Arabidopsis thaliana: one gene and its partners. The main gene of each other region encodes a partner of the protein of the gene in region 3 in a complex. Each region holds a gene or a part of one and is shown on either strand. Other genes may lie near its edges.

Region 1 (7,874 bases), on a different chromosome or scaffold from region 3:
ATTCTCGCCAAACTCATCCAGCCATCTCTGAAGTTTGGGTTTATTAGAATGTGCTTCCTCGGTCAGCTGTACAATCTTGTTAAGCGTCGAATCATTCCATGCCTTTGTAGCCTGATTTAGAAATTCCATGGATTGAGATAAGCATGAGGATTTCAAATAAAGAGACAAGCCAAAGCAATGAGAATAGGATAAAAAATACCTTTACAATCATTCTGCCATCCAAATTTCTTGCACCACCAGGCACTCTATCTCCAGCTTTTGCCTCCAACGGCTTGACTTCCCCAGTCAAGTGCTCAATTGTAATTGTAGCACTACCTTGATAGACTTCGCAATCTACAGGCACAATCTAAATGGAAAAAAAAATTCCATTACTTAACAGCTGCAATTGTAACCCTGCTAAAACTAAACTAATGACATACAGGGTCACATGTTTAAGAAATTCAAGTAATGAAAGCAAATAGAAAAGTTTCACAGACCTCACCAGTTCCAACCAAAACATAGGATCCAACTTCTACGCTGTGCACAGGAACGCTTTTGTATGACAAATCAGATATATTTGGAACATTGCCATTGTGTACTTCGATCAACAATGCAGAATCTGGATTACTCTCTTTCAATTCTTTGACATCCACCATTGATCGACTAGTAAAGAACTCCTCAGCTGCAGAAAAATGACAAGACAAAAGCTCAAACCTCTCCGTCATGATAAACATTAACAATGACATATCCCTAATCCTTATTAAGGTCAAGTTCTAACCAATATGAGCAAGATTGAACATAGCTAGAAGCAATCCTCCTTCCAAAGCATTTCCCATAAACACAGATGCAAAAGCCGCAAGTGCCATCAAGACATGGATGTTCACTTTTCCTCCAGCTATATCCATAAGTGCGTCGAGAGATGCTGAAACCTAACAACATCGATGACCATAAAGCTAAATTACTAAATCATCTGGCTAAATTATAAAACTAGCAAGGAGCTTTATAGAGAAGGCTATAGAAAACCTTACTCCAACAAGAGGAAAACCAACAATCATGAATGCGTTCTGAAGAGACTTAATGTAAGGTTCAGGAGCAAGGTAAGGACAGACGGCGGCAGCGAGGAACATTGCAGCGGCGGAGCAGCAAAGATGAAGATGCTCTCTGAGGTAATTGGCCAATCTAACCCATCCGATAGCTTTAGCGAATCCGAACAACATCTTCTGAGGCTTACTCTCCGCTTTCAATTCCACAGAACAGCATCCGTGTTGATGGTGATGATGATGGTGGTTGTGATGATCTTGCTCGTCATCGTGATGATGATCGTGATGGTGATCTTCGACAGCACGTAGACGAATCGACCGTGGTGGAAGATTAAGGGAAGCAGAGATACGAAGCGGTTTTTGACGGAGAAGAGTTTTAGGTGGAAGAATTGAGAACGAGTTGACTCGAGCGAGTCGGAGAGTGGATAAACCACGACGATAAGGGAATCTAGTAAGAGAGGAAGAACGAGTAAGAGTTGCAGGTTCCATGGTCGACGAATTTGAGCTCAAGCGTCGTTTTTCATGCCACCATTGATTCTGATCTCGCGAACTCTGCGTGTAAGAGTCGTTCGTCTTGGTGAAAAAGATGAAAGAATAATAACAGAGAAGGAGAACCAATGTAATTATTCCGATGACATTAGCCACATAAATAATCTCATCTCATACACTTTTTTATTTTTTCCATTTTTTTTGTTGCCTTCTACCAACCAAGGTTCCATTGTTCCGGATGTTTTATTGACCACTTAAAGAAATTTACATGAACCAAATAGTTAACTTCAAAGGCCTGTAAAATATTTCATATTCAGCTGCAAATCTTACAATTATGAATTCATCAGAAAAATGAAGGAATTCTAAATTACAACAATATTTTTTTCCTGGAGATGTCAGTCGTCTTTTCCTTTGCCTTTACCATCTGAAACCTTATCAGAATCATATGCTGATGGTAGCAAGAAAGTGCTCTGATTCTTCTGAATAAACCTGTAAAGATTTTTTTCCAGAAATTGTGAATTTAACCGTTAAAACCGAGAAATCAAAATGGTAGTGATGAAACAGAGAGATTAGATATATACTTGAGGAAGTCTGATAATGTTTGTTGCATGCGACTCCATGTTTCTTCTTCCATGTTTACATATGAAAAAAGATCTGGCAACTTGACTGCAGATTTTTAAAAAAAGCAAAAATAAAATTTCAGAACATCGAATTTTACTGTCCAAATAAGAACTTAATGAGATTTTACCAAAGAGACGGAGCAAATGCTCGGCGCCATAAACAGTTGAAGGTGAAGTATCATCCACGATTGATTCTTGGTATTGTCGCCTCTCTTTCTTATATAGGAGCATCACTGGCAATGCCTTGTCGAAATAACTCCTTATGCCTTTCAATATTTCAGCGACCGAATCAGTTACCCTGCACAAAAACAGAAACACAAAATTTTGTATCGTTGGATTTCGGAAAAGATTCAAATATATCAAACTCTGTGTTCGAGTAAAAGACTCACATTCCATCCTTCTTGGTTTTGAATTCAAGGTACTTGGACAATATCTCATCGACGTTAGGTGAACGAGGAAGTTTCACAACCTATATAATCATTTGAAGACAGATTACCAAACATCAATTTCCCTTCACTTTGGTATACACAATTCATTCGACTACAAATACACACTTATGTCTCTTAACTTTCAAGTCTAGCTGATTCAATAACAATTCTAATAGTGCTAAAAGTATGTGCACAAAATAGAGAAAATTGATGATACCTTGTCCTTCTGCGCAATATACTCCCAGTCGTCAGTGAGTTGCTTTTTAAGTGATGCGGGAATTTGGATCTTCATTAGCTTCTCCGCCGTTACATTATCCTTCTATAGATTACAAATGAAAACAAAAACCTTATCGATATTAGAAGACCTGAAAAATTGACCCTTTTCGTATGTGTGTATATGCATAACAACACATCAGCCATCTATTGTACTGTAAAATATAATCTTAACAAAGACCTAACAGGTATGAACCAAATACATCTCTAAGTTTTTGCAAGCCTGACCTCATTGCCTGACTCGTGCTTTCGTTTCTTCCCTTTTGCAGCTGCAACAGAAAATGTAATCATCTATACACCAGCTTAAATAATTTAAGTTGCACCCAGTCTACCAAATCATTTCCTTGGAAATTGTTGGGAGAACCCTGAACTACAAAGGGAGCGTAAATTAATATGTTGCCTACCATTGGTCTTGGTGTCATCTTTATCAGCCTTTGTGTCTGCAAGTGCAAGATCAGAAAGAAATAGTTAGTTTCTTAGCCTGGATGACCAAAATATGTATCATGTACTCTCAGCATGGTCAATGTGGAGGCAACAACTCACCTGCAGAGCTTCTAGTTTTTGTCTGAGCGGAACGGCCAGACTTGGTACCTTTTTCAACTCCTTGCTTTTTGTCTAGAGCTTTCTGTTTGACAAGATTCTCCTCGGTATGTTTCAACAATCTATCCGCACTAACCCATTCATCCCAACTGTTGGCAAGACAATCATGTCATGGGTCCCAATCTACTGATTTTGCTACATAAACCAGAATCGACATGAGAGCAGAGAGAGATACTCACTTTTTGTTCCAACCCTGCAGACAAAGATCGCTGTATCACTTATTACTGCAAACCAAAATGAAAATAGCTAGTACATGAAACAGGATAATGAAACTATAATAGCTCAGAAGAAGGAGGCCTCACAAGATAGTGCACAAAGTATTTCCACTCCTTTTTCCGAAGCTCGACCTTTTGAACCTGTAATGGAATGTCAATAATCTATCAGGTCTGCCCACACACTGAAAACACTATGCAATAACAGATTTTTTTCAAAACTATGAAGATTTAGCATAACAACGACACACATTTGATATGAATGAGACTCAATCCAGTGACCTATATAATATATGATTGAAAAAATAAACATGCAAGTAGATTAGCTTGCCCTATTTTCCGAGTAATTTATTGAATTCCTTGCTCCAACGGCAAGTGAATTATTCTTTTGCATCTATTACGACTAAGCATTTATGATCATTCCAATCTAAAAAGCTCTAATGCTACATGAATCCATTACCAAAAAAAGAAAACTCGAATCCAATCTCAATGGGTTCATCTTTCGGATCGTCGTAACTTGAAACCGAAATCTACCAAGAAACCCCTAAGCCAAATCTAGCAGAGAGATCTCAATTCAATGAAACCAGTTAATTCCGTAGTCGGATACAACCAAAACCCACGTGAAATACAAGAATTGCTAAATTAACACGAACAAGATAATCTCTAGAATTCAAATTATGCGAACATCTGACGATGCACAGAGAAAGAGAGAGAGAGAGAGAGGTTTTTTATTTGCCTTGGCTCCGTAGACGCGAGGACCATGGTAAGCGAGAACACGCTCGCCCTCCGAGAAGAGTCTGCCGTCGTTGGACGGTGAGGCGCCACCGCTCGCCGTATCTCCGTCACTCGCCGTCTCTTCCTTCGACGAGCTTCCCATTGTCACCGAAAGCGAGAGCGAGAGGCAAAGATCTTCACATCACAAGGCACCCCTTTAACCGTCTAGATAAATGAATCTACGACAACTGCTGAATGACTGAATCGTTGCGAATAGTTTTTCAATTGAGTCCCTTAACTTTCACAATAGTTCGATTAAATCTCTTAAACCTTTTAAATATACTCGTCGCCCATTTATAAAGCATTGTCTTTTTAAAAAAATTTATGCCTTTATTGGTCGTTGAGCAGTTGGACTCATATTTCACTTTGGACACTGATGTTTATTAACTATTATTACATTCAAATAAATATAAAAAAATTGATTAATACATTTTATTTGTATACTTTTCAAGTAACTTTATTTCACTAACAAAACAATAATCCTAAATATAGAAAAATGAGACAATAATTATTGTTTTTGCCATTCTTCTTCCTATGTATCGATCAGAAACATGAGACATGTATAATATTTTCCACTAATGAAACTGGAACAAAAAAATGAAATAATTTTCTCGACCTAGATGGGTATGGGCACTTTAACCGGCCCGGTTTGAACTAAAGATTGAAACATTAGTGGCCCGGTCCGCTTGGGCTTGGACCTGAGTGCTTAACAAATCGAAACGTATCCTTCCTGTCCACGACCTTATGACCCTCGCCTGGACTTGGACCTGAGTCTTTGATCGAACCAAGTGATAAGCCATCGAATAAACTAGCCACGAACTTCTCCTCGGTCTTTGTTAGACCAAGCGGACGACTCTCGACAAGAACCGAACCAATCAACATGAAGAACAGAATCGAACTCAGAACGTTTTTGTTCATCATCATGTTTAAGAACAATTTAACTCTGTTTATAAAAAATATGGTTTTCTTTCTCTTTGGCAGATAATGAATTTTGTTGTGAGTGTTTTGTGAGTTGAGAATGTGACTATATAGTAGTGTTCGTGGAGATGCAAAGTTTGAATTTTTATTCTTGACTAAGTTTGAATTGAAAAGAATGTGATCATTGAAATTAGTTAGTATGCTGCTTCCTGGGAAAATACCAACTTGTTTCTTGAGCATTCAATTTTGTGTGTATTTATTGAACACAAAATAGTGAAAGCCATCAATGAAGAAAAGGATAAGGAATTGAATATTAGAAATAAAGAATTTAATATCGTAGACCAAACATGAAGTTTCATTGTTTGGAGCAGACGGCAGCTAAATATTAAGGTAGATTTGTAGTTGTGTAGACCAAAAATAATGCTTGAATTTCAAACTCGCAACGTATATAAAGTCACACTCACATATATCGTTAGCCGGTTTAGATTTGGTTTTCGTAAGTATATTATGGTATATTGTTGGTTTCAGATTGAATTTGTTTACTTTATTTTACTTTACTAGAAAATGTACATCTCTAGCTTTGGTTTCGTTTCAACTTTCAGCCAAATTTTTTATATATAGAAAATAAATTTAAAATCAGATAACTTGAATTTTTTTTAAAAATTTGGTTAGGGTTTCTGGTTCGGTTAAACCAGCTGATTTAAGGAGTGACATAAGCTAAATTGACTATGAGTCGGATCTCATGTGTTTGTTTTATAATATTGTTAGATACACCAAACCTAATCATCAATGCTTCAAAAGTTCAAACACTTTGGTGTTATTTTTCTTGCACGACCAAAAATAGTTCCTTCTCACGTGATTTTTCTTGCAAAAAACATTGAACAACCAAACTTTATACTACTCAAAATTCAACATCCAAATTTTAGTTTTTGTTAGGTAGAAATAAGAAATCTATCCTATGAAAAGACAAAACCATTAATTTTTATTTCAACTCTTGCTGCTATATGACGTTGAATTATGATAATTTTTCCGTCTCAAGTTCATAAACGATTTTTCAAACAGAGTTGTGATGAAATTTATTTATTTTCTAAAAAAAAAGGAAGATTGATAGTTTTGAAGAATATATTATTGATGGTAGCCAAATAATTTACCGGAATAAAGTGTAATATCATCTCAAACTGTTCCTTTTTATAGCAAAATCGCTCCTTTTTATCCGCAGTTAGAGTATAAGACAAAGAAACCAAATTCCAGAGCATCAGGAAACTCTTTCCCATATTTTAAGGTGAAATCACTATTTTGAAATTATTAACTTAGTTTAATAACCAATTATTGAATAATACAAACAAAGTACTTAAAACCCGGTTTAATGTTTTATTTCGATTTTATAAATATTGGTTTGGCCAAAATAATATAGTTTATAAGTGGCGTAAGACCACGCCAGAATAATACAAGAAGAAAAAATGTTTAACTATGTATAGTTCGGACGTGGTAGTCCATTAATAATGGAATCAAATTCTGCATTAATAAATTCATTATCAAGATTCCAGTCTTTTGTATTCCTTCCAATTACATGAAATTAATATAATTCTTGAACAAATATCTTTGGACAAAAGAATTTCAATTATTTACTTAAATCTATATAAAAGCAAATCTTTAATCCATTCAAATAGCAGATATGTATCTCTAGGGATTAAGGTAGTATACAACTATAACATCTCAAAAGAACCAAATTGTGACTGCACAATGCAATATCATAATTTGTATATCGAAAACATGATATGTTCACATGGTTCGTCCATAAACAGTACTTATATTCATATTTGACCACTAAATATTTCACATTAAAAAATCGAAATTAGAAATAATTATGGATTTAGTTCTGCAAACTCGATTTTTTTTAAAAAAGATTCGAAGATGCAAGATTGATAATGAAATAAAATTGAGGGTACATCATACATGTGGGGGAAGTGACGTTTAAAAACAAAAAGGAAAAAGAGGAAGAAGATAGATGCCAATATTGTTATCATGACAACTATGAAGCAGAGTTAGAGTCCGTCCGTCCATACAAGTATTTTGTGTGAGTACCACCGAATTTGTCTGTCTATGTTATCTCCCTTCTTTTTCTCATGCCCACGAACCAACATGACAATTATGTTTTGTTCGTTTTTTGAAAAATTCTAGAGTTTTCATTTATTAATTATCGTTGAGTTATGATTTAGTATGATTTTGGTTTAAAAATTCCACTTCTTAGGACTCATTGTTTGATCTTTGTGTTTCTTATTTATTTCTTTGCACAGTACTAAAAATCATGCATTAGTTCTTACCATTCACAAATCTTCAAAACTTAATTAGAAAAAGAAAAAAAAAAATCGATCAATACAATGAAAACGTTCTCCTATGCACTATGCAGAACAAGTCTCGAGGATTCGTATGGTCAAATTTATTCCGATCAAATTATTCGCGAAAGTGTGAGAAACAAATACGTACTTTATTTCTCTTACCTCCTCCTACGTCACTTCTACGCATTCGTGCCCTACCTTC
Region 2 (7,264 bases), on a different chromosome or scaffold from region 3:
AATCAGATTCTCGCCTTGCAAATAATGACCTGCCTATCGACGTTCAAAGACTGAGATGTCGTGTACTATATCGTGGTCTCTGCTTCTCTCCTGCAATTGAAAGCCTTGGACAGGTTGGGACCCTTTTCCTGTCTTGTACACAACATAGATAGGCTGTAGTAACATAAAATTCATTTCATACACATAAGATTTCAAGTTAATGTTCTCTTTGGGTACCGAATAGCTATATAGAAGTTTCAAAACCATCGTTTGGGTCAACGAGTTTTCATTGTCAAATGATAGAACTTGCAATAACATAGTTTATGCATTTAAGAGGTGTGTAATGATAGAATAGGAGAATGGATACATCTTTTTCTATCAAACATAGTTTATGCATTTAAGAGGTGTCCTATGGGGATTCCTGTAGACTGTGGGTTCTGAGCAATCATGACGGTGACACCACAGAAGCTGGTTGAGAGACTCAAGTCACGTGCTGGGAGATATATTGCATTGCACCTGAGATATGAGAAAGATATGTTGGCTTTCACTGGTTGCACCTATGGTCTCACTGATGCTGAATCCGAAGAACTGAGAGTAATGCGGTAATTGATTACTCTCTGCATCTATTCTTAACAAAGCAAACATGCAAAACGTCTTCATGGGATAAAATTACAGTTTCAAGCTCAATATGTTATCTGTTGGTCACAGGGAAAGTACAAGCCATTGGAAGATCAAAAGTATAAATTCAACAGAGCAGAGAGAGGAAGGCCTTTGTCCATTGACTCCAAAAGAAGTGGGAATATTTCTGAAAGGTCTCGGATATTCTCAGTCAACAGTCATATATATTGCAGCAGGGGAAATCTATGGGGGTGATGATAGACTCTCTGAGCTTAAGTCGCGCTTCCCAAATCTGGTTTTTAAGGTCTGTTCAACCACCTCTAATCTTTCATGTTACTGACAATCTAAAGATGATAAATGTTTATGTTTCATGTACTGGATTTTGTAGGAAACGCTTGCTGGGAACGAAGAGTTAAAAGGTTTCACTGGCCATGCGACTAAAACGGCTGCTCTTGATTACATAATTTCTGTTGAGAGTGATGTGTTTGTTCCTTCACATTCTGGAAACATGGCAAGAGCAGTTGAAGGTCACCGCAGATTTCTAGGGCATCGCAGGACTATCACTCCCGACAGGTTCTATCTCCTTCCTTCTGTTACCTTAAAAAAAAGCATTAATCTTTTAGTCATTTTGTTATAGGCCATGACAAGTTTGGTGTTGTATGCAGGAAAGGACTAGTGAAACTCTTCGTTAAGATGGAGAGAGGACAGCTAAAAGAAGGACCAAAGTTGTCCAATTTTGTGAATCAAATGCATAAAGACAGGTAGCAAAAGAGTCATACGTTTGCTTCTTAAACAATAAACCTATAAAAAAAAGCACATCTTTGATGCGAGAAGAGGATTTGTTTGATCGGTTTTGCAGACAAGGTGCACCGAGGAGAAGGAAAGGACCAACGCAGGGGATCAAAGGACGTGCACGGTTTAGAACTGAAGAAGCCTTTTATGAGAATCCATATCCAGAGTGTATTTGCAGTTCAAAGGAGCACAAAGAACCCTAACTAAAATTTTCCAAACTTTTTTTGTTCTGTATCATTACATCTCATTTATAGTCATCTTAATTATAGTTTTCACATATCCCTTGATATCTTTTCTGTTTTTGATATCCGGAGATCTCTAGCCGAAGTAGAAAGCCAGAAATTTTTAACATTTAGTTATAAAACTTCTCTTTCGGCATTTTTTCAAATATTCCAAATTTTAACCAAACTGTTGTCAATCAGAATGGAACAAGAATGAAACACCAAAGTTACTACTGATCGTTTTACCATCCAGACAAAAGATTCCTACAGTTACAAGATCTATTGAACAGAGTGCGTGTTAAATTGTTACAGACAAAAGTCATCTAAGGATATGCAGATTAAAAGTAGACCATAACCATAACTATTTGAAGTGTAATGCCCTCTTAGCTCTGCTCTTTGTAAGGAGTCCATATCATTTTGCTCACATCCACATCAAGACCACCTCGGCCTGCCGCTTTCAAGTGTCGGTCCAGTACCTTAGGATCCGCGCAGATTACGTGTTGTCCTTTCCTGTATTGTATCAGTTCCAAGCTCTGCAGGGTGCTTAATATATCTTCTGCTTTAATCGCTGTCATGTCGCTCAGCTCCTACATTTAAAAAAGTTGAATATATGAATTATTCTGTTGACAGATAGGCTAAAAAGGATCATTACGGATATATAGATATACATACCTTGATAGATATGTTTCCCTTGTGCTTTTTCAAAATGTCTAATAAAATCCGAGTCCAGTAACCTCTGTAACTCACTAACCCTAGATCAGAGAGCGGCCTTTCCGGTGTCCCGACTTTGCCCTCTTTCTTTGAGAGTTCATAGGCTATAACACAATATAACGTGTAAGCTTTATAGAGAGAGGTGAGAACAAATAAGAAGAGTTGAATGAAAAACAAAAACTCACAGAAGGCTATTAAGAATTTGCCATAGCCCTTCCTTTGATATGGAGGAAGTGTAAGGATGCAAGCCAAGTTGTAAGCTTCTTCTGAGTGTTTTTCCTGTACCAACAGAAATTGCATTTTTTTCATCAGACAATCAAATTGAAACAGAACATGTATATAACAGACCCAAGAGCCAAAGTGTGCTGATACCTTTGAAAAGTATCCAACCATGTGGCATCCACGATCATCACATTCACAGAGAATATAGAACAGGAACAAATCAACGTCATAGTAAAGAGTTTTGTGGTCAAGAAATAACTTTGCCAGATAACAGAGGTTCTGTGCATAGACCTTATTCTTCTTGCCATCCACCTGTAAGATATTACAAATAAACTCCCAGGTCGTGAAAATTCAATTCTAAATACATTTATTAGCTTCCAAACAAGTATCGTAAGCCTAAAGCAAACAGTTTAAGGATGAAAACATCAATCTATTACCTCAAACATTGACAAAGTAGAGCTTCGATAGATTTCATCCCCAGGGGGGTGCTTCAAATCGCATTTCCTCTGCATAGATAAAAGACGATTGAGCAAAACTTAAGTAAAAAGAATGACCCATAAAAGGTATGTGTGAAACTAAAAATAACTGTAAAGACAAAACAATTAAAATGCTACAAATGATAAAAAAAACAGTTGCTCACCATATGTCTTTGAAGCTGCTCTTTGCGCTTCATAAAACTGAGGCAAAACTCACAGAAAAAGAGCTTCACGCAGTCATTGTATTCTGGAGGAAAAGGAGAGAAGTACCACGTCTCAATCTCATACTTCCCAAGCTCAATCGTAGCTATGTTCTTCACTTTCGTGAACTCCTCGTGTTCACGCAAACTGGCAGCATCCAGCTCTTCATGACCCTATACAAAATATCGAAAAACATCAGAATATATAGCATGCCACACAGTTCACTAAAACCACAACAAAGTTTAACTAACTTAACCAATCACTTTACCTCTACATGAGTCTCATCAATCTTCCGTTTCTGGTGTCGTGTCATCTTCAAGCTAGTCACCTATTACCACAAACAAACTTCTATGTTTCAGTGCAAACTACGGAGAGGAAAGCTCAAGACTTTGAAGAAAAATGGCTAATACCTTGTCTTCAACTTTTTCATCTAAAGCACACTCTACTGAATCAAGGTCAAGCTGTTCAAGCTTAATCCATTCATCCAATCTTCTATTAACTGCAGTTTCACAAGAGTTGTGATACTCAAAACAACTTGAATTGCAAAGCCCTCTAATTCAATTCTTCGAAATTTCAGCTCCAATCTATAAACCCTAGATTCACAAATTTCAGATAGAGAAAGGAGGAAACGACATACACTCTGTGTAATGAACGTAGTACTCGTAATCATTGTGACCACCATTATAATTCTTTCGGCGCTCGATAACCTTCACCGGATGGTATTTTCCGTCTCTCCATTGACACATCACGCGAGTACCAACCTCGAGCGGAAGCACCCCCATTCTTCTCTTCTTCGAAGCATCCGATTCTGAATTCGTGAGAGCGAGTATCGCACCAGAAGTATGATTCTGATTCGCATCTCCGCCGTTGGTTGCCGGATTATTATGGTTCGACGCCGGTGTGGCGATTATCATCGCCGTCTCTGTATCCGCAGACGATCCCATTTCTTTAGTCGGGTCGGAGATTTTTTCCGGGTGGATTCTTTTCTCATACGGATAAAGAACATCATTTGGAAGGAGTGTGGCCCAATAACAACTTTGAATGCTCAATTGGGCCTATCTTTATAATTGGCCTGTACTATATGTCTCTCTTACCGTCCTTTTTTTTTGGGTGCAAAAAATCTCTTACCGTCGTTAATACACGTTTTATAACTGTTGGCTTATGTTTAGTTTTATAATCGCCAGGTTACATTTAAAGAATGATTAGTAGGAGCAAACAATTTATAAAAACTAAAGAGATAATGAGAGATAAATAATAAGTGACAGAGTCAGTATTTTGTCGTGAATGGGAAACAGCCAAACAAGGCTTTATGATTCGTACTAATCACAAGATTCACAGATCAAAAAATCACAAAGTTCCAAGAAGCAAAGACGAAAAACACAACTCATCATCGTGTCCTTGAAGTTATGGTCATAGATTCGCACACCATGTTCCTCTAGATTAACCAAAATGATTTTTTATGAACAAAAAAGATTCACATGGTCACTTTACTGTATCTTGTATGTGAAATTTTACATCTCATTTTTCTTAAAGAATGTTTTACTTTTACATACTATCAATTTACTTTTATTTTTCGGTTATGAATTGAAGTGGATGACTTACTTACTTTTGAAATTCGAATGAAGAAAAATAGAATTGATTCCTATTTCAGTTGTTCACATGTAAACACGTTATATACTTATATGGCAACTTGACTAAAGGGAAAATTTAAATAAAATGATTTAATTTGGTGACATATATTCATCTTTCTAATTTTTGTAGCTACTACACACCGTGTATCCTTTTTCATAATAATGATGTGAAATTGTATAATTGTAAGAAAAAATGAGAAAAGAGTGACGAAATCTTTAAAACAGACAGAATTTTTTTGGTTGAGCAAACAAAACTTAGTTATCAAATTTTGGAAATAACGTGTTGAAGTGGCTGATTCTTTTACCTACAATGATTGATTCATCGACAAATATCTTGTTCGTATATCATCAATTCTAAATTCTTCAAAAATAAAGTAAAGATACTCAAATGTAATGAAATGACGAAGCTGGAAAAACGTATTTTAATTTAATTCATTATTTGACCAACAATTTGCATCATGTGAATTTAAATCTTGATAGGTCAATATTAGTATAAACTACCACACTACATGCGAAAATCATTCCTCATTTAGTGCAATTACAAATGATAAACGGAAACGTTATCATTTGTATTTATTTTGTAAAATATGTAATTCAAGAAACTGCTCAGAATATAAAGACAAGAATCCTCTTTCTTCCATCTCTATCTCTCCGTAAACAGTTGCTCAAAACCTTCTTCCTGAAATGGCTTCTTCTCTCATCTTCCTCCTCCTCGTTACCCTAACCTTTTCAGCATCAACCCTAATCTCAGCCAAATCCAACACAACAACAATAATCGAATCAACTTGCAAAACCACAAACTACTACAAATTCTGCGTCTCAGCTCTCAAATCCGACCCAAGAAGTCCCACAGCCGACACAAAAGGTCTCGCCTCCATTATGGTCGGCGTTGGTATGACAAACGCCACCTCCACCGCAAATTACATCGCTGGAAACCTATCCGCCACCGTAAAAGACACCGTTCTCAAAAAGGTCTTACAAGATTGCTCCGAGAAGTATGCTCTCGCCGCTGATTCTCTCCGGCTGACGATTCAAGATCTTGATGATGAAGCTTATGACTATGCCTCCATGCATGTGTTGGCGGCGCAGGATTATCCTAATGTTTGCCGGAATATTTTTAGGCGGGTTAAAGGGTTGGCTTATCCGGTGGAGATTCGCCGGCGTGAAGCTAGTCTGAGACGTATTTGTGGTGTTGTCTCCGGGATTCTTGATCGCCTTGTTGAATGATTTACATTTGCATTAACTACTTTCGTAAAATCTCTATTTAAATTATCGTATTTCATGAATTTAATATGACCGTTACTTTATTACTTTCGTCTTTGCTACAACTTTCAAATTGCCAAGAAGAACAATCTTTAGAGATCACCTGAATATTTGGAATTTAATATTTCTCAATCAATTGACTAATCATACCAAAAATTTTAAGTGACGAAGATTTGGGGGAAAAGGCTTCTTAAGAAATGGGAAGTACTAGAGATATTTGTATATTCGTTATATATCTTTAGGTAACTTTTTGCTTTATCTGTATGCATTATACGTGTTATCGCTTCAGAGATGTTTTACACTTTAAAAATTGCGATAAGGTTACAAAAGTGTCATCTTAAAAGAGAAAGGTAACGTCGTCTATATATTTTTTTATAACAATTTTAATGCAGAATAGTTATCGACCTCATAAACTAGTACTGCTTTTAAGACGACGTCGACTGCTATGCGAATCAAAATCAAAAGACGTATGACTTTTTTTAATATCATTTTAGGTGGAAACATTTACATAAATTATTGAAAGTGAATGTTCGTAGGTCATTGACTAGTCTACAGTTTTCGATATCAGTTCAAATAATCGACTCATAATTGAACTAAAAGCATCAAAATAATTAAACCATATACGAACACTAATAAGACCGGTTTTAGAATAAACCGGACTAGTCGGTGGATAAAATCGTCATTTGACACGGAGACTACTATTTCGCGCCCAAATGATCCCAGAAGACGCGCCCAGAGTGACAGTCCTTTTAGTTATTCTTCTTCCCAGTAATCCACAAACCCTAGAAAATTTTCTCAAGAAAATCCGAATCACGATTCTGGGCATTGTGGAGGATTGACAAAAATGAAGGGAGGTACGATACAGATAAGTTGGCACGATGGGAAGCCGGTGCTAACCGTAGATTTTCACCCGATTTCCGGTTTACTCGCCACCGCCGGAGCCGATTACGATATCAAGGTAATTTAATTCTCAAATCAAAATCGATTTGTATCCATTTTCAGGATCTGAGTTTGATCAAATAGTCACTAATTGTGTAATTTTGGAATTTGAATGTCTGCGATTGTTTAGAATTTCTAAAATTCAAATGTTTGAATTTGGTTCTCACGGGTTCATGAATTTGAACATCTGAAATTGTTTTGGTTGTGATTG
Region 3 (7,168 bases):
CACATATTGTCAGGTGTTGACAGTGCAGCTGAATGATAGGAGATGGAAGAGTTGTTGTACTTCAAAAATCTACTTGCATATTCCTTGACACCCGCAGCTAAACATCTTATGCCATTCAAACAATTAGATTCTTGGCAGGTCTCCTGCATACAACCACGGTAATATTTAGTTTGATACCATTAAGTTTTACAAAAATCATAACATAAAGAGCGACAGAACCAGAGACTCCTGAAGGTAATTATCAAAGACAATGCAAGCAAATAAGAAAGATCAGGCTTCTCAATCATAAGAAGGAAATATCAGTAGAATTGTGTTGTTTTGCAGTCTAGTCACAAACATAATAATATGGTTCTCAGAATTCAACGAGTGTATGTATAAATTCTAATTTAAAAGAAACGGAAAGAACCATATGATCATCATTGTCATCAAAAACCATAAAAGAGGTCAGACAGTCAAATACCTTAACAATTCCCAAGCTCGTCTCCTCCAGCTCCCCAGGAACCTCGGCCTCCACAGAACTCCAGAATTGTAAAATAGCATAAGATAGGACTGAAGCTATTTTTTTCAGCTTTCTGTGCTGATTTCGTTCCTCAAATCTCAACTGACAAGTCAAAGCAACTCGATGGCAAATTTGTGTGGCAGCAGTCATTTTCCAAAGGCGCTCCTAGAAGATGAAAAGAAAAAAGGTAACAGAATGCAATTAGAACAGTCACGGAAAAATGTTCCAGTAACATAAAAGTGGACAAGCTCATTTAAGAAGACGAATGACCAGACGCCGTAGTAAATAAACAGAACAAAAATCCACAAAATGCAGCATTTTCCATGCAGATATATAGAATTTATGTTAGAAAGATAATTTAACTAGACCAGACCTGCGCAAAATCATTTGCCAGCCATGCCATTTCTTCGAGGACAAAATCCCATTGAGATTTCTCACGGACCTCCACTGGTGCAGTACCACAAGATAATTCGGCAATTCTTTTTTTCTTTGCCTGTTAATGTATTATGTCATACATAAAAAGATGAGTAGGTACATAACATCATAACTTCTACGAAAACTAGATAGCTAAAAATCATCAAGTCAAGATTAAAAAGAAAACCTGTATAATCCGGGCCTCCTCAAGAATAGCGTCCTCCTTGACAGTATCTAACATAACTGCATCTGAGCTCGGCTGATGTTTTAATGCTTCAATGTCAGTTCCTGACAATAAACTATTGCCAACTGTGCAAGAACTTGTGTCTACAGATGCCTGAGGAATTCCAGAGCACAACGTGCTGCTAGGATTTTCAGATAAAATACTACCAACTTTACTGTCATTTTCGAGTACAACCAACCCATCTTGAAGCCTTTTCTCAGTCTCGGAACTTTTCTCCTTAGTTTGCATCTCAGCTGTACTTCTGTGACTTTGATTTTCAATTTTAACCGATTTCATCTGCATTTCACATTCAGGAATGCACTCACTGATAATGGTGGTAGATTGACCTGTCTCATCTTCAATCTTAGTTTTGGTCATTTCACCAACTGTTTGATCTAGTAACCCCTCTACTCTCAAAGTCTTCTGCATAGAGATTTCATCAGAGTCAAGTTTGTCCACTTTATAAAGATCTCTTTCATTATCTACATTTACTTCTACGTTGTTCGCATGAGAAGACTCTGACTCTAACCCATTAGTCCCTGTAGCTCCTCTATTTGTTAAGCTTTCTTCCTCTACCGTGGAATCTCTTAGGCCATTCAGTTGGGTAGAACTATTTTTCTGGCCAGCTATTGTTGCAGCTTTGGGAGAACCACCAGTCGAAACTAGTTGTGCCTTCTCCCCAGCAAGGCCAGACTCTCCAACTGGCAAATATGCAGAGCTTTTACTATACGAAATGTCGGCTTCATCTTTCAATAGACTAGTCTTGGATCCAGCAGTACTCTCTCGTACAACAGGTTCACCATCCACCTTAGTATTCAGCGAATTGCTGGAAACTCTATTTTTCGGAACGATATTACCATTTGAATTTGCAAATACTGGACAAGATACAGAAGTTGTATGCATATCCTTTTGATTGGCTGCTTCGGGAATGCAACCCTTTCCTTCCACTGATCCTCTGCGAATAGATATAGACGTTGCAAGACCACCACGATTCTGAACTAAATCCGTAGAGCTTGACCGTGCTGGATCCCGACTTATCTTCGATCTGTTCCTCCGAGCATACGGGCGAAAGATGGCAGAATCTTCTGTTTCTTTGGTATTCTGGTTGGTGTGTGCTTTGGAAGATCGTTCTGACTCAGAAGTTCTGTTTTGCCTATTAGGATGTCTCAAATTTCTTTCCCCTTCAACTGACTTGTTTTCAGAATCAAACAGTAAAAGATTATCTGCTGTATTGGGTTCAGAAATTGTAGGAACTCCAGGTCTACCGCTACTCTCCACCGAGTCACCATGTGGTGAGGCAGTCAGGGCAAAACTATCTTTGACTTCACTGTGGGGGTTATGGGCAAATAATGATGAGTTATTCCATGAAATTAATGTGGGAACTACACCAAACACGAATGTACCTGTTTACAAAATGCTCTGCTTGCTGATCTGTGAGTGATGTAGATTGGACGCTATGTGAAGTTGCAATACCAAACTTGAAATCCAAGGGATTACCGCCCTGAAGCAGATAGAAGAGTAAAGGCTTGTCATCATAAGTTCTTACACACACACACACAAAACAATTATAGAACAGGGAAATAGGTATTCATACTTTCTCTAGAAACTCCAATTCTCTCCTCCTTTCCTCACGAACATCATACTCTTGCCTGTTGAAATAAGCATCTTTGTTACACATTGGAAATAATAGAAAGCTGTAGAAATTATAGAGCATTTAAACACACTGCAGAAGATCAAGATGTCTCAATCTGAAATACCTTAGCTCCGCTTGAGCCTTCTCAATAGCTGTTCGGCGCGGAGATGTTTTAACACCAATACCACCTCCACTATCGATAACTCCTCCCATGGAATCAACCTCAGCATTTACTAGAAGATATCCTGAAACGCTTCCATGCATCACCACGTCGAATACCCCATCAATTCGAATTCTAGCTTAACTGAAAAATTATATCAAGAGCTTTCAGTATTTACAGCATTCCGAATGATCATACTGCAGAAGTTAGAATCAGTTACACCTAAATGTTGGACCTACAAATAACACTGGTAAAATGTATGTTCTCATGATGCAAAAAGCAGTACCATATGATATCATATAATAGAGTAGCTTATCAGATTCAAGATGTAACTGCTCAGAAGATGTCAAAAGTAAAACAACATTCACTCATATACTCTAGCCACTATCCAAAGGAACATCAAAGTGAAGATAACTCCCCAGAATCTAGTATTTGACTGAGAATTCTATATATCTAACGCCAATACCATTCTGATCCCCGAGAAGCTCACAACTACGTATTCCAGCATAACAGAGATAGAATAGAACTCTAAGATACCAAAGAAATGAAATGTTGCCTCAAGGCAGAGAGGTTCTAGAAGCTTAATCCAACACTAACAACGATTACTAGGAACCAAAGTTAGAAAATGATCAGCTTAAGCTACTTAATGGCGTGCCTACGAACTCTTGAATCAAGTATTGAGCATTTCCAAGCTAAACGAGTAGAAACAAAGAACTACAGAGACACAATTTCAGCAAACAATTCACATTCCTGATAAAAGAAGCACTGGGTTCAAAATCACAGAAGCTCCAGCAAAGCTGGACTCTAGGGTTTGAATAGAAGAGTGAAGGAGAAGAGAGTTAAACCTGGAAATTGAACGTAGAACAGAACAGAACGAAGGCAAAAAGCTAGGGCACAAAACTCGGGCAAAATCACCAAATTCTAAAATTAGTTTCTCTCTCCTAGGGCTTCCAAATTCTTATAAGCTTTTCTTTCAAATCGAAAGACGAGAATCAATTTCTCAGAGAGTAGAAGAGAAGAAGCTCCTCCCAAAACAAGGAATCCATGGAAATTGCTTGCTTGTTGCGAGATTGATTCCTAATTCAGCTATTTTTCGTTTTCAATTTTGGTTTCCCTCTCGGGAGATAAAAAAAAAAATTGAGTTCTCGTTGATGTTTTTTTTTCGTTCTTTCTCTCTCTCTCTCTCTCCTCGACGCAGTATGCGACTCTCTCTCTCTCTCTCCGAATTCTGGGCCTGAGATTTTGACCAAACAAGGCCTTTCTTTTTGTTTGCTTGGTCTTGTTTCGGGCCTTTTTGTAGTAATAAAGTTATAACAGTTTCATGTTGTGTGACATGGATCTCTACAAATCTCAGGCATGTCGCTGGTTTTGTAAAACTATATTTGTCCCACGTTGTCCATAGGCAATTCGGATCGAGTCCGGGTCGGAGTTTTCGGTTTCGGGTTTAGAAATCTAGGACGCATTCGGGTATATTAAAATTTGGGTTTAGATCGGATGTGGATCAGATATTTTGGGTTCGGATTCGGGTTTATCCGAAGTATCCAAAAAATCTAAAATTTGATTCAGAGTTCTCAAACTCAGCTTCTTCAATTTATCAACAATGCTTTTGATTCTTTCTAACGTAGAGATTTAGTCATTGTTGCTTTTAGATTTGTAACATAGGTAACGGATTTGAAGAAATGCACTATGTAAGCTAATGTTTATGGGAGTGAAGTGAACTTTTTTTTTAACCATAAAAGAACAATGATACATTCATCAAATTAACCTAAACCTACAAGAGAATAAGTTAGAGGAAAAGGTTAAAAAAGGGCCCTAAGTATATGCCACAAGGATGGAGGAGTAGAGACTTCTATACAAAACATTATAAACTGTTTCTACTCTCTCCCAAACCAAAAGATGGGAAGAAGAAGAGACTACTTCTCTATGATGCAAGTGGGTAATTTACATTATGATATACCTTCTTCTCTTTGTGTTCATCAAAAGAGGCAAAAAGACCTGCATGAATTTTATCCTATCCACCAACTTCTTCCCTATTGATCTCCCTCTGGCCTTACCAAATCTGCAAACTCCACAATCTGTAGAGTTTGTTATGTTATACTCTCAGCCAAATCCAAAGACCACCAGCAGCTTCAAGATGTTAATGCCAAAAAGAGACCCGACTCTGAAGGTGGAGGACACAAACCAGTTTGGGTTCCTGTACAGGGTTGTTGTCGGTAAGGGCCAGCGTTAAGCTTTGCAGGATCTACAGCTACTCAAGGTTCTAGGTTCATCTGTCATGCCTCTCATTCCACTTTTGTATCAGGAGGCTTGGAAGATGATAATTCTTGTGCTTCTTCTAAATGAGGCTGCTCCTCAGAAGCAAGGTGTTTCTGATTTTGTACAGTCGGCTTCTCTGGCAATTTCGGTCTCTTTTCTTCTGAAGGTAGAGACTGTTGTTGTCTCTGTGTAACGCCCTTGATCCCGTGCTTTTGAGCTAGTCCTTGGTTCGGTGTTGATACTGGATCATTTCCTGCTGAATCTGTATTGGAACTGTTTACTACTTTCGAAGCAGTGATTTGCACAGAAGCAACACAAGATGGAGGTTCCAAAGCAGGCACCGCAGTAGAACCAACTGCTTTTATGTTTTTCAAATCATTACTCGCTTGAGGCATACCCTTGGTCGTACCCATACTAACAGTTTGGGTAGTATTGGTTACAGACTGTGGAACACGTGGCATGCGTTCAGCTTGGGACTTCTTTGATAACTCAGAGTTCCCTAGATGATTATGTTGAACAACTCGCTGAGCTGTTGATTGCACTTGATTGCGCTGCTTTTGGTGTATCAACAAATGCTGATGGTTAGAAGGTGCAACCGCTGGTGCAATTGACGGGCTAGAGGTGGATAAAATATTACATGGGGTCGCAGGTGAGCTCTGGCCTTGGATGCTATTGTCTGAATGTAATTGCATCTGTTGTTGAGGGGATGGAGGCAAAGCACCAGGGAATGATTTTGGCAGTTGCTGTGAATGATTTGAAGACAAGGGAGAAACAAATGGTTTAGACTGCAGATTCGTGCTCGTGGTAGTCCCCACACTAGACTGCTGATCAGGCCTAACTGGAACCGCTATCTCTCCTTTTTCAGTAGCCTGGTTTCCTTGGGGCATGGTAAGGCCATTCAGGTGTGACTGATCAACAGTGATGTTCTGATGGATCATGTTGCCTCTACCCATCCCCTTCAGTTGTTTATTCAGCTGTTGACCTTGTGTTGGCTGCCGCTGGTGTGGATGCTGTCTTGCAGACTGCTGAAGTTGTCGCTGCCTTTGTTTTCCAGCTTGATTGTTCACTCCAGAAGTACCAGACTGAGGACTCCTACCCAAACCATGAAGCGCCAACTGAGATTTTTGAGGTTTCTGTTGTGCCATAGCATTAATATTAGGAGAGGGCGACACCGGGGGCATGGATAATGGCTGGGGCGAAACAGGTGGTTGAGTCTGAGGACTGTTTTGTGGAGAAGAAGAAACAGAAGAGCCCTGAGGTTGTTGTACATGTGGCATCATAGAACCAGATGCTGGAAACTGCTGTTGCTGTTGCTGTTGCTGCAAATACCTCTGGTGAATTTGTCTTTGACGGATAGCAAATGCTTCTTGCTGTGCCCCAGTGGCTTGACTTGGGCTCTGGAGATGAGGATGATGCGAGTTGCCAAGCACATGTGACTGCGGTGACATCTGATGCTGCTGGGAAAGATGGCCTGGGTACGCCTGAACAGGAGTTGTCTGGTTGGTAAATCCAGAACTCAAATTACTGAAAGCTGGGATCCCCGGACTGTTCCCTTGAGCAGCCTGCATCTGAAACTCATGAATATCAGTTTTTATCACCACTGTAGAGGTCGTAATGTTGTCAACGAGTTTCAAAATGACAATCGACCAGCGGTTGACAAAAATTAGAAGCGCTGAACGTCTACAAACTAAAACAAAGAGCGAGATAAATAAGTCCAGGTTGTGAAGTAAGAAATAGATAGTTAAGTTCCCACATGTGAGAAATCGTAAAACGAAGTGTAATAATTAGCGTAGCAGTAAACAAAATCCAAGTAGCTTACCCGCATCATATGCTGCACAGCTTCACGAGGCCTGATCATGGAGTTTCCTTGAGAAGCTCCTCCTCCGGAATGAATATTTCCAGTGTTTGGAATTTCTACCATGCCAGAGGAAAGCATACTACCAGTATTTGGCATTGCTGATGAGGCCATCCCTTGAAAACCAG

The links.
Region 1: AT3G24870 (region 3) and AT4G37280 share a complex: the UniProt entries of both Arabidopsis thaliana proteins name them as parts of the nuA4 histone acetyltransferase complex.
Region 2: AT3G24870 (region 3) and HAM1 share a complex: the UniProt entries of both Arabidopsis thaliana proteins name them as parts of the nuA4 histone acetyltransferase complex.

What each region holds. Positions count from the first base shown.
Region 1 is NC_003075.7:17,544,845-17,552,718, forward strand, and holds AT4G37280 (MRG family protein), read right to left. Parts: upstream 4,716-7,874; 5' UTR 4,519-4,715; coding exon 4,378-4,518; intron 3,786-4,377; coding exon 3,732-3,785; intron 3,623-3,731; coding exon 3,609-3,622; intron 3,519-3,608; coding exon 3,373-3,518; intron 3,270-3,372; coding exon 3,234-3,269; intron 3,099-3,233; coding exon 3,058-3,098; intron 2,876-3,057; coding exon 2,774-2,875; intron 2,598-2,773; coding exon 2,518-2,597; intron 2,427-2,517; coding exon 2,257-2,426; intron 2,175-2,256; coding exon 2,090-2,174; intron 1,998-2,089; coding exon 1,904-1,997; 3' UTR 1,733-1,903; downstream 1-1,732. Other genes in the region: HMA1 (heavy metal atpase 1), read right to left, coding at 1-111, 200-346, 477-661, 758-908, 1,008-1,508; AT4G37290 (uncharacterized protein), read right to left, coding at 5,085-5,339. UniProt on the Arabidopsis thaliana protein: Chromatin remodeling factor. Acts as a 'reader' protein by binding to H3K36me3 and H3K36me3 to control histone H4 acetylation. Increases the transcriptional levels of the flowering time genes FLC and FT.
Region 2 is NC_003076.8:25,826,340-25,833,603, forward strand, and holds HAM1 (histone acetyltransferase of the MYST family 1), read right to left. Parts: upstream 4,331-7,264; 5' UTR 4,165-4,330; coding exon 3,858-4,164; intron 3,720-3,857; coding exon 3,631-3,719; intron 3,549-3,630; coding exon 3,489-3,548; intron 3,394-3,488; coding exon 3,184-3,393; intron 3,050-3,183; coding exon 2,981-3,049; intron 2,856-2,980; coding exon 2,694-2,855; intron 2,601-2,693; coding exon 2,507-2,600; intron 2,426-2,506; coding exon 2,283-2,425; intron 2,198-2,282; coding exon 1,994-2,197; 3' UTR 1,821-1,993; downstream 1-1,820. Other genes in the region: AT5G64600 (O-fucosyltransferase family protein), read left to right, coding at 1-113, 445-581, 688-901, 986-1,170, 1,263-1,358, 1,457-1,592; C/VIF2 (cell wall / vacuolar inhibitor of fructosidase 2), read left to right, coding at 5,536-6,078; FAS2 (Transducin/WD40 repeat-like superfamily protein), read left to right, coding at 6,959-7,072. UniProt on the Arabidopsis thaliana protein: Histone acetyltransferase which may be involved in transcriptional activation. Acetylates 'Lys-5' of histone H4 (H4K5ac). Essential for gametophyte development. Involved in DNA repair after UV-B exposure.
Region 3 is NC_003074.8:9,081,246-9,088,413, forward strand, and holds the start of AT3G24870 (Helicase/SANT-associated, DNA binding protein), read right to left. Parts: upstream 4,175-7,168; 5' UTR 3,775-4,174; intron 3,074-3,774; 5' UTR 3,034-3,073; coding exon 2,894-3,033; intron 2,786-2,893; coding exon 2,731-2,785; intron 2,678-2,730; coding exon of another isoform or gene 2,638-2,677; coding exon 2,540-2,637; intron 2,464-2,539; coding exon 1,101-2,463; intron 993-1,100; coding exon 873-992; intron 665-872; coding exon 461-664; intron 144-460; coding exon 1-143. Other genes in the region: AT3G24880 (Helicase/SANT-associated, DNA binding protein), read right to left, coding at 5,212-6,753, 7,005-7,168. UniProt on the Arabidopsis thaliana protein: Component of the NuA4 histone acetyltransferase complex which is involved in transcriptional activation of selected genes principally by acetylation of nucleosomal histone H4 and H2A.